3 linked regions of the Arabidopsis thaliana genome follow. The protein of the gene in region 1 interacts with the protein of each later gene in a pairwise test. Each region holds a gene or a part of one and is shown on either strand. Other genes may lie near its edges. The genes, in order: AT5G55380, VP2 and AT1G31130.

Evidence for each region.
Region 2: the proteins of AT5G55380 (region 1) and VP2 interact in a protein complementation assay, tested with the Arabidopsis thaliana proteins (one large-scale study listed by BioGRID).
Region 3: the proteins of AT5G55380 (region 1) and AT1G31130 interact in a protein complementation assay, tested with the Arabidopsis thaliana proteins (one large-scale study listed by BioGRID).

What each region holds. Positions count from the first base shown.
Region 1 is NC_003076.8:22,446,069-22,450,019, forward strand, and holds AT5G55380 (MBOAT (membrane bound O-acyl transferase) family protein), read right to left. Parts: upstream 1,886-3,951; 5' UTR 1,804-1,885; coding exon 778-1,803; 3' UTR 556-777; downstream 1-555. Other genes in the region: AT5G55370 (MBOAT (membrane bound O-acyl transferase) family protein), read right to left, coding at 1-48; EDM2 (ENHANCED DOWNY MILDEW 2), read right to left, coding at 2,084-3,409, 3,506-3,569, 3,675-3,793, 3,897-3,951. UniProt on the Arabidopsis thaliana protein: Catalyzes the final step in the synthesis of long-chain linear esters (waxes).
Region 2 is NC_003070.9:29,669,782-29,677,601, reverse strand, and holds VP2 (vacuolar H+-pyrophosphatase 2), read right to left. Parts: upstream 6,108-7,820; 5' UTR 5,911-6,107; intron 5,823-5,910; exon of another isoform or gene 5,611-5,822; intron 5,517-5,610; 5' UTR 5,263-5,516; coding exon 5,164-5,262; intron 4,994-5,163; coding exon 4,790-4,993; intron 4,680-4,789; coding exon 4,528-4,679; intron 4,440-4,527; coding exon 4,292-4,439; intron 4,216-4,291; coding exon 4,083-4,215; intron 3,762-4,082; coding exon 3,589-3,761; intron 3,440-3,588; coding exon 3,319-3,439; intron 2,827-3,318; coding exon 2,639-2,826; intron 2,459-2,638; coding exon 2,021-2,458; intron 1,941-2,020; coding exon 1,776-1,940; intron 1,700-1,775; coding exon 1,544-1,699; intron 1,459-1,543; coding exon 1,347-1,458; intron 1,247-1,346; coding exon 1,027-1,246; intron 941-1,026; coding exon 841-940; 3' UTR 771-840; exon of another isoform or gene 654-770; coding exon of another isoform or gene 184-653; 3' UTR 87-183; downstream 1-86. Other genes in the region: AT1G78922 (uncharacterized protein), read left to right, coding at 1-86, 184-653; AT1G78915 (Tetratricopeptide repeat (TPR)-like superfamily protein), read left to right, coding at 6,521-6,631, 6,713-6,741, 6,827-6,864, 7,026-7,113, 7,383-7,488, 7,603-7,682, 7,801-7,820. UniProt on the Arabidopsis thaliana protein: Pyrophosphatase active in both inorganic pyrophosphate hydrolysis and H(+) translocation.
Region 3 is NC_003070.9:11,114,086-11,117,872, forward strand, and holds AT1G31130 (polyadenylate-binding protein 1-B-binding protein), read right to left. Parts: upstream 2,111-3,787; 5' UTR 1,844-2,110; coding exon 878-1,843; 3' UTR 608-877; downstream 1-607.

The sequences.
Region 1 (3,951 bases):
TAAGGCAGAGATCCAAACCTTGATTAGGTTTCTCAACTCTTCTTCCATCTTTTCTCTCTTGGTTCTGTTGGTTGCTAACTGTTTCATAATGATGCGACTTAAATAATGTTATCTACAACCAGAAGAACATGAATAATGCCAAAAACCATAACTGGTAATACGTTTCTAATTTGTCAAGTTTGCGTCATTTTTATTTTGGATCATTCAAAAACTATTTTTTTCAAAGAGGTAAAAGGATAGAACTTCAAAGTTAGAGGGTTTATTGTCTCATGTACTTTCATTTTTTTTATTTTTTAAACTTGTATTATTCAATTATTTAATGATTTGGAAATAACATATATGTATTTACCAGATTTTCAATTCGCAAGTAAAAGATAAATGAATCTTAGAAAAAACTCCATATTACATTTTCTTTTACATTATAAAATCAAGAAATCCAAATAGATTCGGAATGTTCGTATGACAAATCCAGACAAACGACGCGGCATGATTAAAGTAAGATTATAGATTTGGCAGAGTTTGTTTTATTTTAAAATTCTTCTAACAAATATTGCATTAATAATATACAAAGTAAGATGTTCATATTTCATCATTTGTTAGAACTTAGAAAACATTTACGCCATATTTATTGAATTTGTTGAGCTTGATTCAATTTAATAGCATGTCAAGAATGTTTCACACTAGACGACGTGTCTCACACTTCTATATACGTTTTCAAACAATGAAGAGAAACAAAGTTTGGTTGCTCTGCTACCGCTCTTTGCCTTTAATAAAGAATCATGAAGAAGTGAATAACTTGGCTAGGTCAAGAACCAATAAACATTCTCCAATCGCTTTCTCATGGACATTGTTTCTCAGCACTTGAGCGAGGAATAGCCAAACGCCCGTCACACTCACAAACGTCAGAACTACAAGACCAGAGACAGCCCGGTGCGGTGGCCTCAACCATTGTGTTCTCTTCACCGCTATCTCAGTGGCAGTGGCAGCACCATGCAACACAAAGAAACAAGTGACTTCCCAAGTTGGAGGCTTACGGATCATGTAAAAGTAGAGCAGCTCATGCATCAAGCCTGAGACAAAGAACGATGCCATGACCCCAGCAAACATAGCCCCGTCTGGACTGAGTATGCGTTTGAAAAAACGCTGAACCGGAATGTGAACGGTTGAGCGTAGGACGGCTGAAACCATGAGGTTCCATCTGCGGCTCCAGAAGTCTTGTAGGGAGGTAGCTAGGTAGGGCTCATTGAACACCGGCTCGATGTTACACCCAAGAAGAGTAGATACCACGGCTCCAACAAAGACCAAGACAAGTTCTACCTCAAGGTAAATATGGAGACAATAGAGAGCCAAGACAACAAACCGAGGCAAACCATCCCTGTATTCATAAACATGTAACAAGACGCCCAAGACCAAAATTTTAACAGCCAAAACCCATTTAGGCATAGGTTTAGGATGAAGATTTGGTATCGCATTTGGAGAAGGGTCTTGTCTGATTTTGATGGGTAAACAAGCGAAGCAGATGAAACGGGAGAGTTTTGGAGGAAGTGGGAACAAAGGTCCCTCATCAAAGGCAAATAGAAGAAGCTTAAAGTTTGCAAGCCATGAAAGAAAAAGAACTGAAATGGCGCAAAAGTGCACACAAGAGAGGAACAGAGGAAGAACAAGAAACAGAATGCAGACTGGAAGAATAGAGAGGAGACGAAGAACACCTTTGGAGAGTTTAGACGATATGTAATAACAGTAAGATAGAGAGATTAAAGCAGAGATCCATACCTCGATTAAGTTTCTAAACTTTTCTTCCATTTCTCAGATCTGTCGTTTGCTAATTCTGTGGAAGCAGCAGAGTTTGACGTGGTCCTGTATTAAAGAATTACCACAAAATATGACTCAAAAGTTTAAGACAATAGAAGCTGGCTTCTTTTTCTTTTATATTATTAAACAGCTAAAAGGCCCACTAGCTACACATGTGAGTGGCAGAGAAAAGTTATAGATTTCTTCTATTCTTCCTACACTTTCGTAGAGTGAGACACAAAAGATCAATCAAACTACTAATGTTGCAACTACAAGGATAATGAGTGCTGATCTAGTCATTAATCCAACCGCCAGATCGACTCATATAAGGGTAGTTCGGGTTCGGGCCAGGGGCAAAACCCCTTGGACTCATTTCGAAGTCACTAGGTGGTGGCGGTGGCAGTGGAAAGTCATGAGGATTTAAGAGATTATGTCCGCTAGGTTGCAATGGAGGCTGAGGTGGGAAAGAGCTCATCCTCTGGTAATTCATTTGATCGAAATGAGGCGCATAACGTTGTTGCAATGGGAATGCATTGTCCATCAGATTTGGAGGAGGAGGAGGAGCTAACATGGGGTCCAAGTGCCCACCGTACTGCTGTGGATATTCTCTTTGACCAATCCCTCTATCAAGGTCTGAATATCCTCGGAAATCAAACATCTCGTTAGGACCATTTCTCAATGGAAACTGATCCGGTAGGAAAGGAGGATCCGGCATTCTATAGCCTCCACCGAAACCACCATACTTAGCAGCAAGACCATCGTCGAAATGGGACAAACTTGCACCATAAGATGGTTCAAAAGCTTCAAACGGTTTCTGACCCGTATTTTCTGGCGATGGACGAACAGTGTAGATGTCCTCTCTAGAAGTTCTCACAGAGCTAGGCCTATCCCGACTCACTTCAGGTTTTCCAGTGCCCTGCACTTTACAACCATGTTCTCTAATATTCTTTCCCAAGTTACTTTTTGTCCTTGTTATTGCAGGCAGAGATGCTTCTACAGCCTCGTGAGATCTTTGAGGTGTTGTAGTGGAAATTGATGTGCAGACAGCATATATATCATCTGGGGAAGACCTAACAGGACTCTGCCAATCAGATGTCATTTCGGGAATTTTTACTTTGATGCTCTCTGGTGCTCTACTCAACTCTCCTTGATCCTCTTCCATGTCATTGCTCTTCCAATCCACATTATTAGAATCCATAGATTTCCCAAGCTTCCTACCAGAGTAGTCTTTGGTCTTTCCCTCCTTTTTCAGCTGACTTCTCCGTGACAAGTGATCTGACTGATGTACACGTGCTACAGTTTCTACTGTGTCGATTTTCTCAGAGACTAAGATTTTATTAACGCATTCAGCTACCTCAAGTTCATCCTTTTCCATAGGAATATCATCACACATGCCATCAGAAGCTCCAAGTGGATGCAAAGATGCGTTTGCTTCTTCTTCCACTATCTTTAACTTTGAGCTCCCCACATCCCTAGACAAATGGCAATGCTTCTCCGCTATTTTCTTGTGCTTGGCTGCAAAGTCGGACCGACTCCAGAGAGAAAGTGGCGGAGGAACAAGGTTCCAGTCTTCCAATTGCTTGTCTTCTTCATTGACAGAACCAGGCAGGTAAAATGACTGAAAGGAATAGGCAAGAAGCATAACATGTAACTGAAACTCAATAAAGGCTCAATCTCTCAAAAAGCAAAATCAAAAGAAAAGCGAAAGATTTACATTTCCAGATAGGAACGTCTTATCCTCCCATATAAGCACATATGATGACTTCTTTTTATCTAACCTGTTGAGAAAAGTGATAGATTTAACAAGAGAGAGAGAGAGGAGTCGATATATTAGTGTTATGGAATGGTACAGAGGAGCAGATGAGATAGATGGAAACTGAAACCTTTCAGTCTCGGGAGGAACAATGAGAATGAGAATCTTTGGGCGGAACTCAAGAGCCTTGGTAATAAACTTGTTTGCAAGAGAAGCATTGACTCCAAATGGTGGATTTAGCCCCATAATCTACTCATAATTCCAAAAATATAAACAGTCAGATACTACTCAAACTATTTCAATGACACTGGAGCTTACACAAAGTTCATACTAAAGGAAATTTGTGTCTTACCAGCTTTGAACCTGGTTCCAACTCATCTTTACTTACAGTCATCCAATCCTTTCTC
Region 2 (7,820 bases), on another chromosome or scaffold:
ACCATGGGATCTTGAGTGTTTCATAGAACATTTCTGTCTTCCTGATATTGCAAAGCTTGTGCTGATGTCAAGCCTCTGTTTCATAAGTAAACCTTTCTCTTATTTCCGATTTTTAGCATTCACTATTGATTCTGTGAACTTTCCTTTGTTTTCTATAATTTTGTATTTGTTTCTTTTTCCCAGTTTTGATGTTCATCACCCTCCTGTTCAAGCTTGGAATTTGCCAATGTGTTGTGAAAAGTATCTGCAAAATGTCATGTGCCGCTTGTGCAGCGTACTGGTTCGACATTGGAGAGATGATTAGTTGCTTGTGTCACAGTTTGACTAACATAAATCGGGTCAACCGTCGCAGAAAACGTCTCGATGATATAGAAGCTACGACCTATGATTATCCGAGTGATGATGAATCAAGTTCATCGGACAGTCCCAGTCGAATAGATAACATTAGACCAAAGCAGAGAAGAAGAAGACTAGGAAGCAAACACAGCCACCACCATCATGGCAGCAATCGCAACAACCGCCGTCTCATAAGACTACCGAGTAGACAATTGTCTGTACGAGTTGGAGGCAAATCAAGAAGAGTAAGAAGAAGTACTAGAAAGATTAAATCGAGGAAAATAAAGACTCTCAAAGTCAAAGATGTGGTTGATTAAAATGTCTCTAGAATTCCTTAAAGAGTGTCTCTAAACTCAAAAACAGAATTATCTCATTTATTCAGATGAAATGAAACACAAAAACCATTAATCCATGTAAATCATTTTATAACCAACCTCTCTCCCTCTCTATTTGTATATGTGCAAGAGAGTAAATAAGCCGGGATGGATAAGTAACGGTTCACTTTCAGAGGAAAACCGGAGCCATGACGAGAGTTATAGTCGCAAGCATTTTTATGAGGACGTGAATGGATGGACCGGCTGTGTCCTTGAACGGATCTCCCACGCTACAATTTTCAGATGAATTCTAATGAGAAATCGTATTCAGGAATATAACTTTGAATGAGTGTTGAAGTAGAACGAAAATACTTACGTATCACCAGTCACAGCTGCTTTGTGAGCTTCACTTCCTTTGCCCCCAAGTGCCCCGGTCTCTATGTATTTCTTTGCATTGTCCCAAGCACCTCCCGCCGTGTTTAGGAAAAGTGCCATTAAGATACCACAAACTGTTGCAAACATGAGCATAGAAGCTACAACTTTTGCTCCGAGCAGAGGTTGTCCTGTGTAGTAACCCAAGATTCGAAACACCAAACCTGAAAGAGAGAACAAGAGGTTTGTTTTTGGTCACAATGTTGTGGTTTCAAACTTTCAATACAGTAAGTAAAGAAAAACGAGTAGATATTACTGACTTACCAACTACAATGGGTGATGCAATAGCTAAAGCTCCTGGCTTTATCATTTCTCTTAAAGCTGCAGATGCGACTATGGCGACACAGCGACTATAATCTGGCTTCTCCTTGTACTCCTGCAACAAGATATTTGCTAGTCAACAACGGTACAAGCCAATACACAAGAAAAGGTGAAGCACTCAAAAGGAAAAATATGCTCACCATTATGCCAGGCCTCTCAATAAATTGCCTTCTTACTTCGTTGACAACCTCTTGTGCAGTTCGACCAACTGCCGCGCATGCCCAAGCACTAAAGAGGAAAATAAGCATGGCACCCAATAATCCACCAACGAACACTTCTGGGATAGCAATATCAACCTGATTTTATCCGAGGATGAGTATGAGAAGTTGTCTCAACATCGAGAATACAGCAACGATGCATAACGAAATCTACCTCTTTGAAAGACACATTAGCAAACGCTGAAACCTCGTCCATATACGCACTAAAGAGAAGGAATGATGCAAGTGCAGCAGATCCAATGGCAAACCCTTTCGTTGTTGCTTTTGTGGTGTTCCCAACAGCATCAAGAAGATCAGTGATCTCACGGACACTCTCTGGCTGCACGAAACATTTATTATTTCTACATAGAATAAAGATGGAACATAAGAGCCTTTCAAGCCAATCATGTGACATCTTACCTGCTGGCTCATCTCGACAATCCCACCAGCGTTGTCAGCTATGGGGCCAAACATGTCCATAGTAAGGACATAAGCTGCAGTGCTTAGCATTCCCATTGTAGCAACGGCTGTTCCAAATAGACCTCCAGTGGGAATACCATTTTCGTCCACTAGACCCGAGGTATTGCCCAACCAATACGCAGAAATAATAGCTACACTTATAGTCAAAACTGGAAGAGCAGTTGATTCCAGGCCCAAGCTTACTCCAGCAATGATATTAGTCCCATGACCAGTCGAGCTAGCAAGAGCCAACGTCCGAACAGGCTCGTGCTTATAGTCTGTATAATATTTGGATATCCAGACAAAGATATAGGCTGTGATGATGCCAACCAACCCACATAGGGCGAAATTGAACCATGCAGATGGAGCTTGTTCAGTGTAAAGCAGCCAGCGAGTCGACTACAAACATAAATAATGCTGTCAGAAGAATATAGCAAAGAATTTGTTCGAAATTTCAGTAATAACAAGGCTAGTGTAGGCTAATGAAAAGTCTGAACCAAAAAGCCCATAAAAAGCAGAATTAATTGTAAAAAGAATGAAAGGAACAAGACAATCAATGGTTATGTGTGACAACATTACCGCGCCAAATGTTATAACAGCTAATATAATTGTCAGAGAATATCCTTTCTGAAGTACAGCCATTGGATCCTCTACCGGAGATTTCACACTAGCATCACGTGTTCCCTTGATTGATAGAATACCAATTGAGGATATAATCAAGTCAAAAGAATGAACAACTAGAGGAAAAAGGATAAAGCCTGATGGATCTGCATAATAGAGAAAGATTTGAGTAAGTATCAAGCATGAACAAGAGGTTTAATAGGATGTTTATCAGCGCATATCTAACAACCACTGCTAGAAATGGGTAATGTTATTGAAATTTTTTGACTGCAGCCAAGTGTAGCTTGCTGTCATGAAAAGTAGTCTTCCTTCAATTTTCACACAATGCATAGCAGGTTCGTACAAGGTGCTTCAAACAATAACTCTATACAACTTATGTCGACTTTTTAAATCCTAACAAGTAATAATGTACCCTCAAATCCTCAAGGAGTGACCAAAACATGCAATAAAGCGTAGATTATTCTGTATACAGAATGTAATTTACGAGCTTGAACTCTCTATGCAACTCTTCCTAAGTTTGCATTTCAGATTATAAAATCCTAGCAGTTCATTTAATTTTCTCGGTATGAGTCAGGAACTCACACCATAAGTTATATATTTGCATATACCAGAAGTAACTTTAAAGAGAGATGGTGCACCTTCAATTTTGCACTTCTTAGCCATTGTTCCACCTAGTATCATTGCACTGATGATTTCTGCAGCTATACTTTCAAATAAATCAGCACCTCTAGCAGCACAGTCCCCCACATTGTCTCCAACCTACAAGAAGATGAAAATGGCTTTAAATGCCTAAATGACGAAAACACAAGCAAACCCTTGTAGAGTGATATATGCCCCAAACAAGGATGTCACGTTTGGGAATCACAGAATCAAGAAAGTAAGAAACAAAAAGAACAAAGATCAAATACCAAATCAGCAATAACAGCAGGATTTCGAGGATCATCCTCGGGAATTCCCTGCTCAACTTTCCCAACGAGATCTGCCCCAACATCAGCTCCCTTAGTATATATTCCACCACCCAACTGAGCAAATAAGGCAACAAACGAAGCACCAAAACCATATCCGACAAGAAGAAGAGGTACTGTAAGAGAAACAGAAAATTCAATCAATAAATCTTACAAGTTTAATAGCTCCACTATCGCCCATGCAAATGCAAATTCTGGTCAATAAATCAAGAGAATTACATATAGGGTTCACTGAAAATCTTAGAACTGTATTGGTACCCCACCTCAATCAAGATTAATACAAGTCATGACATATTTAAGAAAATACTGCTCATGTCTGAAAATGATCCTTTGAAAAGATAACAATAACTTTTTGAAACTCAGTACAATGATTATAGAATATACACACAAGACGAAAATGAATATTTTTCATAAAAAAAAAAGAGCAGAAGACTTACGGTCAGTAACATTCATTGAGCCTGGTGAACCCACGCCCAACCACACATAAAATGTAGAATAGAGGATGGCGATACCAATCACAGCCATACCAACAACAACCAGGGCTGAAAACCCACCAGCACGAACGGCTATCTGCATTATATCTGCCACTTAGTATTTGGAAACGTGTACATGACATGTTACCAAAATAGCTAAACTAAAGAAGAACCTGCAATGCTTCTCTCGCAGATCGTCTGGCAGCACTGGAGACCCGCACATTAGCACGAACTGACACCCACATTCCAACATATCCAGCAATACCTGAGCATAGAGCCCCCAAAAGAAATGCAGCAACAGTAATATAAGCAGACATCGCCCTGCAGCAAAATAGTAATATGGCTAAGCTTCATTCACAACAATTCAAAAGATAAAATAAATCTTGTGAATGTAATCATGTATCAGCACCTTCCTAAACCAGCAGCCTCTTGCTGGGGAGTTAAGCTACGGAATAGATATATGCAAAGAATCACAAAAGCTAGCAAAATGGCCATCTTGGATATAGTGCTATACTGCGTTCTGAAAAAACCTTCAGCTCCATCACGTATAGCATCTGATATCTATAAGTAAGAGAATTACCTCACAAATTAGAATTACAAATTTTTGATGAGAACAAAGAAGGAAAAATGTCAACATCATGACTAACACCACATAATCTGAGTGAGCTTACCTCAACCATCTCTGGAGGTCCTTCATCTTTCGCTAAAACCCACTTGGTTAGATATATTGACAAAAGGAAGCTGATGATGCATACTGTGAAGACGAACACGATGATGGGAGAAGTACTTGCCCCCATGTAAAAGATTGCTCCGAAGCAGAAAAGCAGAATTATCGAAAGGACACGGACATTTAATTTCCTAATAATCCGGAATATCTGCCAAAAAACAACTAAACTTTATACAATTTCAAAGAAAATGAAAACGAGATGCTCAAGAAACTAAGATGCTAAACGAAATAGAAGGAAACTAGTTATAATACGCATCTCAGTGATCTGATGCAAGCAAAAAGAAAAGCACTCAAGAAAGAGAGGAATAAAAGTTGTACCAGTGGACTATAGGTTTTACTACGCATGTTGGGAAAAGCCCTAGGCCTGTCATTGAAAGACATCAAACTGGCCTGCTCAACATCTTCATCCATCATCATGTTTTGAGCTGAATTAGCCCTTCGGACTATGTGTAGAGGCGTAAAGTCAATGCTATGGGGCAACTCCGCCCCAGAACTCGGACGCTGAATTTTAATACACTACAACTTTTTCCTCCAAACGTTAACAACAGCACATCACAAAACGAGCACAAGTTAGTATGAACCCTCTTAACTCTAGCTATATCTTTGATTCCAGCTTCTTCAAACTTTCTCAGTAGAGTTGCCACAACAAGTTTCCACCACAATCAAAATTTCTGAAAAAAATAGAAAAGTATGAAAAGTTGTGATGTTTCTCTTTACCAACCAAATAGCATTTTTAAATGAAATATAATCAGAGTAAGGTTCTACAGTAAAGTTTAGCTATAACTTTCATCATTTCCCATGAGCGTAATTGCTTCTACGATCAATTCCCCAGAAAAGTGCGATTAACAAACAGACCTCAAGATCTAATCGACTAAGATTTCAGTGAATAAAACGCAAGGGACTTTGCATTCCGAGTTTAATGAATCAAGCACCGTTACTTTAATTTAGATCTGAGTTCTGTTCTAAGAGAAATTCACATGATCTCTAGACAGGAAATGGATACGTTTCCAGAAACGAATCCAACGAAAAAAAAAAAGCATACGAAGAGTTTATCCGGAAACAAACCCTAAAAATCGGTAAAACAGAGAAGATGACGGCTCCGGTGAGAGTGATCAGAAGGAAACCGCCATTAGCGAAAGCTTGTTGTAGCCGAAGAAGCGCTCTATCCTCTCGCTGTCTCCGTTCTAAATCCGAAGACTTTTCACAGAACTTTCCGAATATTTTTTTCCTAAATTAATTTTTCTACCTTTAATTTTATTTTCACTCCTCAGTGGTTCAATACTAATTTTATGACACATCCTATCCAATGAGTCGTTGACACTTAATCACTATTCTCACTTAAAAAGTTAAAAACTTAAAATCATCCTCGTTTGTTAAATTATATAGATCGAGTTAAATTATCAAAAATACCCATCAATTTTGGAATATTAACATTTGAATATTATATGGGCCTAGCCCAAAATTATGTTTTGCCATTCGGCCCATATAATAGACAATCTGCAAAGTGAAGAAGAAGAAGAACCACTAACGTTATCTTACCGGCCCGATCACGGAGCTCACCTTTCATCGTCAATCTCCGGCGGACGAATTTCTCTTCGTAGCCGTTACTTCTCATTATTTCTTTGAAACTTTCTTAGAAAATTCTCTGTTTTGGTTAGGACAATACAAACAGAGGATGTTGATGACACTAGCGGCGACGACCTCCGTTTCATTTAACTCGAAGCTTCTCCTATTTCGAATACGTTGCTCGGATTCTAACCCTAAGCGTGGCTTCGGCTCAAAAAAGGTTTGATTCCAAATTCTTCTTTGTTCAACTTAATTTTGTTGATTCAAAGTACTGAGACAAAAATGTGAAATCGCATCACAGGAAGAGAAAGACCCGGCATTGCAGCAAAGGTATAAATAGTTTTTGTGTTTGTTTAAAGCATTTAGAATTTTAAATTGCTGTTGTTATATTTTCATATGGACTTCTTTGCTGCAGGAAATCATCTTCTAAACAGTCTGTTTCTGTACCCAGAAGTAAGTATAATTTGATTTTAAAGCATATTGTACGTAACAGATGTTGCTGCTCTCCTTCATGGTGTCTCGAACATAACTTCATTTTTGCATTCTTCAGTTTATCTCAAAAAGTTGGTTTCAATTGAAAGGTTTGCTCAAGAAACTCCTGCATTTGTTTGCAGAGGCACCTGGTCTGAATACTCAGTTTGAAGGAAAATCTGGTCGATCTTTTGATATAGACTTCGATGAACGGCTGGAAAACATCAGAAGGTACCTATGTTTTATGATTCTAGCATGAAGATTGGCTTTAGAGATATATAGGTTACAATAGGATTATTCCTCTGACAATCACACTTGACTTTCTCATTATACCCACAACGACATGATCTTCCTATGAAAGTTTGATTCTTTTTTTTTCTTGATTTGTTCATCACTTGTCTTGCTTTCCACTTCCCTCACCCCCTAGACATAGTCAAGATCATTGTCCTCCCACTGATCGGAATGTTATTTCTGTGACCTCTGCTCTTTTGATGAATCAGGTCAGCTCTTGAGCAGAAAAAGACAGAAGTAGTTAAAGAATTTGGTCCAATTGACTATGATGCACCAGTCAAGTCTGACCAGAAAACAATTGGTCTTGGTACTAAGGTACGCATACATAACATCTTGCAAGTGTTTATTTTTTATTTTGTTCTAAAACCACTTGAGGCCTATAAGCTACTCATACATAACATGACAAAACTTGGGCCCATGCCATGACAGGTTGGAGTTGGCATAGCTGTTGTTGTATTTGGTTTGGTTTTTGCTCTTGGTGACTTTCTTCCCACGGGAAGGTGCGTTAAGTGAAGTCCAAGTCATAACTGTGTCATTTACACCATGTTACTGTTTGTCATTTTCCTTCTTTTTATTCCAGTTTGTAATTGTTTGTGTAAAGATTCTGATGACATCATATGTTCTTAGGATCAGCTGGGTTGGTTTCC
Region 3 (3,787 bases), on another chromosome or scaffold:
AACGATGTACCACCAATACTTGCTTGGGAGTTTAGGCTGACAAAACATTCCATGATTCACCGAAATTTTGTTATCTATGTGGCATGTATATGGTTCATTCATTTATATATTAACAAAAAAAAGGACAATTTTTGTTCCAAAACAAAACAATGCATGATCAGGGTAACAAAACAAAACATTGCATGATTCACATTGACTTATTATTCCAAATTTGTTTCATTGATCATGATTCACGATATTTAGCATTAGTTACTATTTGGGTTAGTGTTGTTGATACATCACCATCTAACTTTAAATTCACATAATACAAAATAAAAATTGATAAAATCAGATTAAAAATGAATGAAGATGTATTTTTGTTTTCTTCTTCTTCTTTGAATTAAGTTTTAAATTTGGTTTCCATTCGGTTTAGTGTAAGTTGTGTAACCAAACCTCCCACTCACGAACAAAAATTCAGATTTATAAACATTACAAAAGTATCCACAATAATTGCTCCTACGACCTTAACTTAGTGTAGGTTAATTCCAAGGTCAAATCCTACAGCTAATTACATATCTAAACAAGCCACTTCCTTCATTTATTATCAATTTAAGCATCTAAAACCCAACATTTTTAACGGATAATAATTATCATCAACATGAGAAGAATAAAACACATCTTTCAACAAGAATAAATTAGTAAACTCAAATCATGTAATAATAATCAAATGAAAACAACAACAAAGAGTGTTGAGTCTAATACATACACATTACATTAAAACTATTGTTCAGATTCCAAATTTCTTCTTCTTCTCCAATATTACAAACTACAAAGAGAGAGAGAGAATGGTAATAAGAGAAGAAAAACAGTACAAGAGAATCATCATCTTGACAAATCTTCAAATATCTAAATCCTCCAACTGAATGTTGCTCTTAAGAGGCACATAATCTCCAAGATACCCACCAAGTTGATCATACAAAGCGGTCTTATCAATAGTCTGATGATGATAACTCTTACAAACATAGTAAAACACACTCTGAACCAACAAACCCACAAGATTAACCATCACAAGAACACCAACTAACAATCCACCAACCAAAGTCCTAGTAAAAGTTCCATACTTCCCACCACCATGAACCACAACAGCACCAAAAACAACTCCAATCAATCCACAGAGGAAAAGATAAACAAAGATTAACCCCATAGCCATCTTAGTCTTCCCTTTAAGCAACTCATAAGCTTTTCTCATAGCGGCGATTCCGTAAACCGGTTCAAGAACAGAGATTACACTACCTAAATGCCATAAAGCAGTGAAATAAACATGAACACCAAAGTATAGAACAGAGATTATAACCCCGGCTACAATAGCTAAACCTAAACTATTCAAATCAAGAGCTACGAGAAGCATCACGAGGAAGACAAAGAAGACTGCGTTATAAGCAAACATCAACAGAGCAACCCAAAGGAAAGTTATAAAGAGTCGTTTAAAGACTTTGGGAATCGCAGAGAGAGTTGACGAGAAAGAAACAGGCTTTCCGGTGTAAAGAGAAGCGACGGTGAAGACAACAGCAGCGGTTGAGAGAAGAGAGAAGGCAAAGAGGAAGATCAAGTAACTGAACTGGAAGATTAGAAGAACAGTCCAATCATGACGTGAACGATCTGAGTTTGGTGGGTCGGATTTGTCGAGTTTGGCTAAGATTGGTTGAGTGAAGAGTGAGTGAGCGAGGATAGCGAAGGAGAGAGGGAAGATGAAGGAGAGGGTTATGAGGTAGAAGGTTCTTGGAGATCGTTTCTTGATTGAGATTGATTCTTGAAGTAGTTGAGGTATTGTCAAGAATTGAAGCTCTTCTGGTTGGAGATCCATGGTTTGTTTCTTTGGAATGAGGTTTGATCGGAGAAGAACAGAGAGGAGAGATTAAGAATCACCGACGGGTCAATTTCGAAATCTGAGAGAGATGAAGTTTTTTTTTTTTTGTTGAGGTGTGTTTTGTTGATATCAAGAAGATGGAGAAAAAATGTTTACGGGTAAAGACTTTTTTTTTCCTTGGAAACTTCTGGGAAACTCATATAACACGTTTTGACTAGTATTGTTATTGTGACCATTTTTTTTTGGGGGGGGGGGGCAACTAATTGTTTATTTTTTGCTTTAATTAATATGATGGAATCGTTATTTTATGGGAAAATATGTAAGTGGTAAAGAGATGGACAAAAAGGAAAAGGAGATTTGGTCAAGTTTTATGAGCACAACTCTCTTTGCATGAGCTGAGACGCAATCATGGAACTAGACTTTCTATAGAGTTTATGAATCTTGTATACTTACAAAGAAATGGTAAGATAGGGTAAATCTAATTTTGATAGAGTTTAATTATGCACCTAATACCTAATATTCACCGTGAAGAATACTCTAGAAGAGTATTCAGATTTTCATATTTGTAATACATATATATGTACTACATTTTTTTAATGTTATTTATTTACATTTTGAAATTAAATAAATAAGTTCAAAGAATAAATATGATTTAATTTGAACGACATATCAGAAATGTTGTAATCTGTTTTTTTTTTTTTTTTGAATATTGTAATCTGAAAAATGAAAGTTTAATGGTTTGATATTTCGGTTGTATGTGTGATTATGTATGTTTTGATTTGTTTTCACGTAATAATGAGGAAATCAGGATCAAAACTTTAAAAAGAGCAAACAGAAAATTAATGATGTTAAAAGTTTATTAATACGAAGAAGAAAAAAAAAAGTTTTATTGATACGACCTTGTTTGAAATAGGATTAATAAATTTTCTGATGAAGTTAATTTATGATAGAAACAAAATCAAAGATTAATGCTTACTTCCACTGAATCTGAGGTGCAGGGAAATCACATGGACCGATGGTCCCAACAGTTAACTGTCCATGTCAACTTAAATACTACTAATTTACATAATTAATAGATGTGAAAATTATCTTTGCAATGAATATTGAACTTGTAACTTTTTGTATGTGTTTAATTTGGAGATCTTATAAGTTTACGTAAGGAAATAGAACTAGCAATCAAATGTTGGTGTATAAGCACTATCCTACACACACGATTTCTTTAATTATACTTTCAATTTCGAATAGAGAAATATAAGAAATGGACAAGACCGGCCGGTCCATGATTATATACTCTCAAGTTTCAACTTTTGTTTTGGTTTTCTAACTTTTATAAAGATATGTAACAAATGTGTTTTTAATCGAATGTGTTTTAATCTTTTTTCTTCTGGCACTAGGTTCTTTCTACACTAGCTACTTTAATCGAATGACTAATGGAATGTAATAAACCAATACTTAAACTAAACACTTGCCTCTTAAAGCCTTATTACAAGAAAAATAATAGACCGTGTATCATCAAAATATTGAAAAATAAATAAATACCCCAACACGTAATTTATAACAGTAAGACTATGAATGGAGGTAGCGGACAAAGCGGTTTAATTTGTCTGCGATTTAGTCCATCTCATTTTTGAGGCGAACAATAAACCGCTGCGGACCAAGTTTATTTGTATGTAAAAACGGTCCGTAGATGATCCGCTGCGGTTTTCTTCTATTTTTTTTGGTCATTGATGAATTGTAAATAAAAATAGTCTGATTCGTTGACGGTTTTGTCCGTCCCAACCGCCATAACCATTCAAACCCTAAATCGAATTCACAAGTCATAACAACTAATTCTCCCTAAATATAAGCATATCCTAACACAAACTAAAGAAATACCTATTATTATTTAATAAATTTAGTAAGAATACCTATTATTATTTAATGAACCATCCAAACCATACT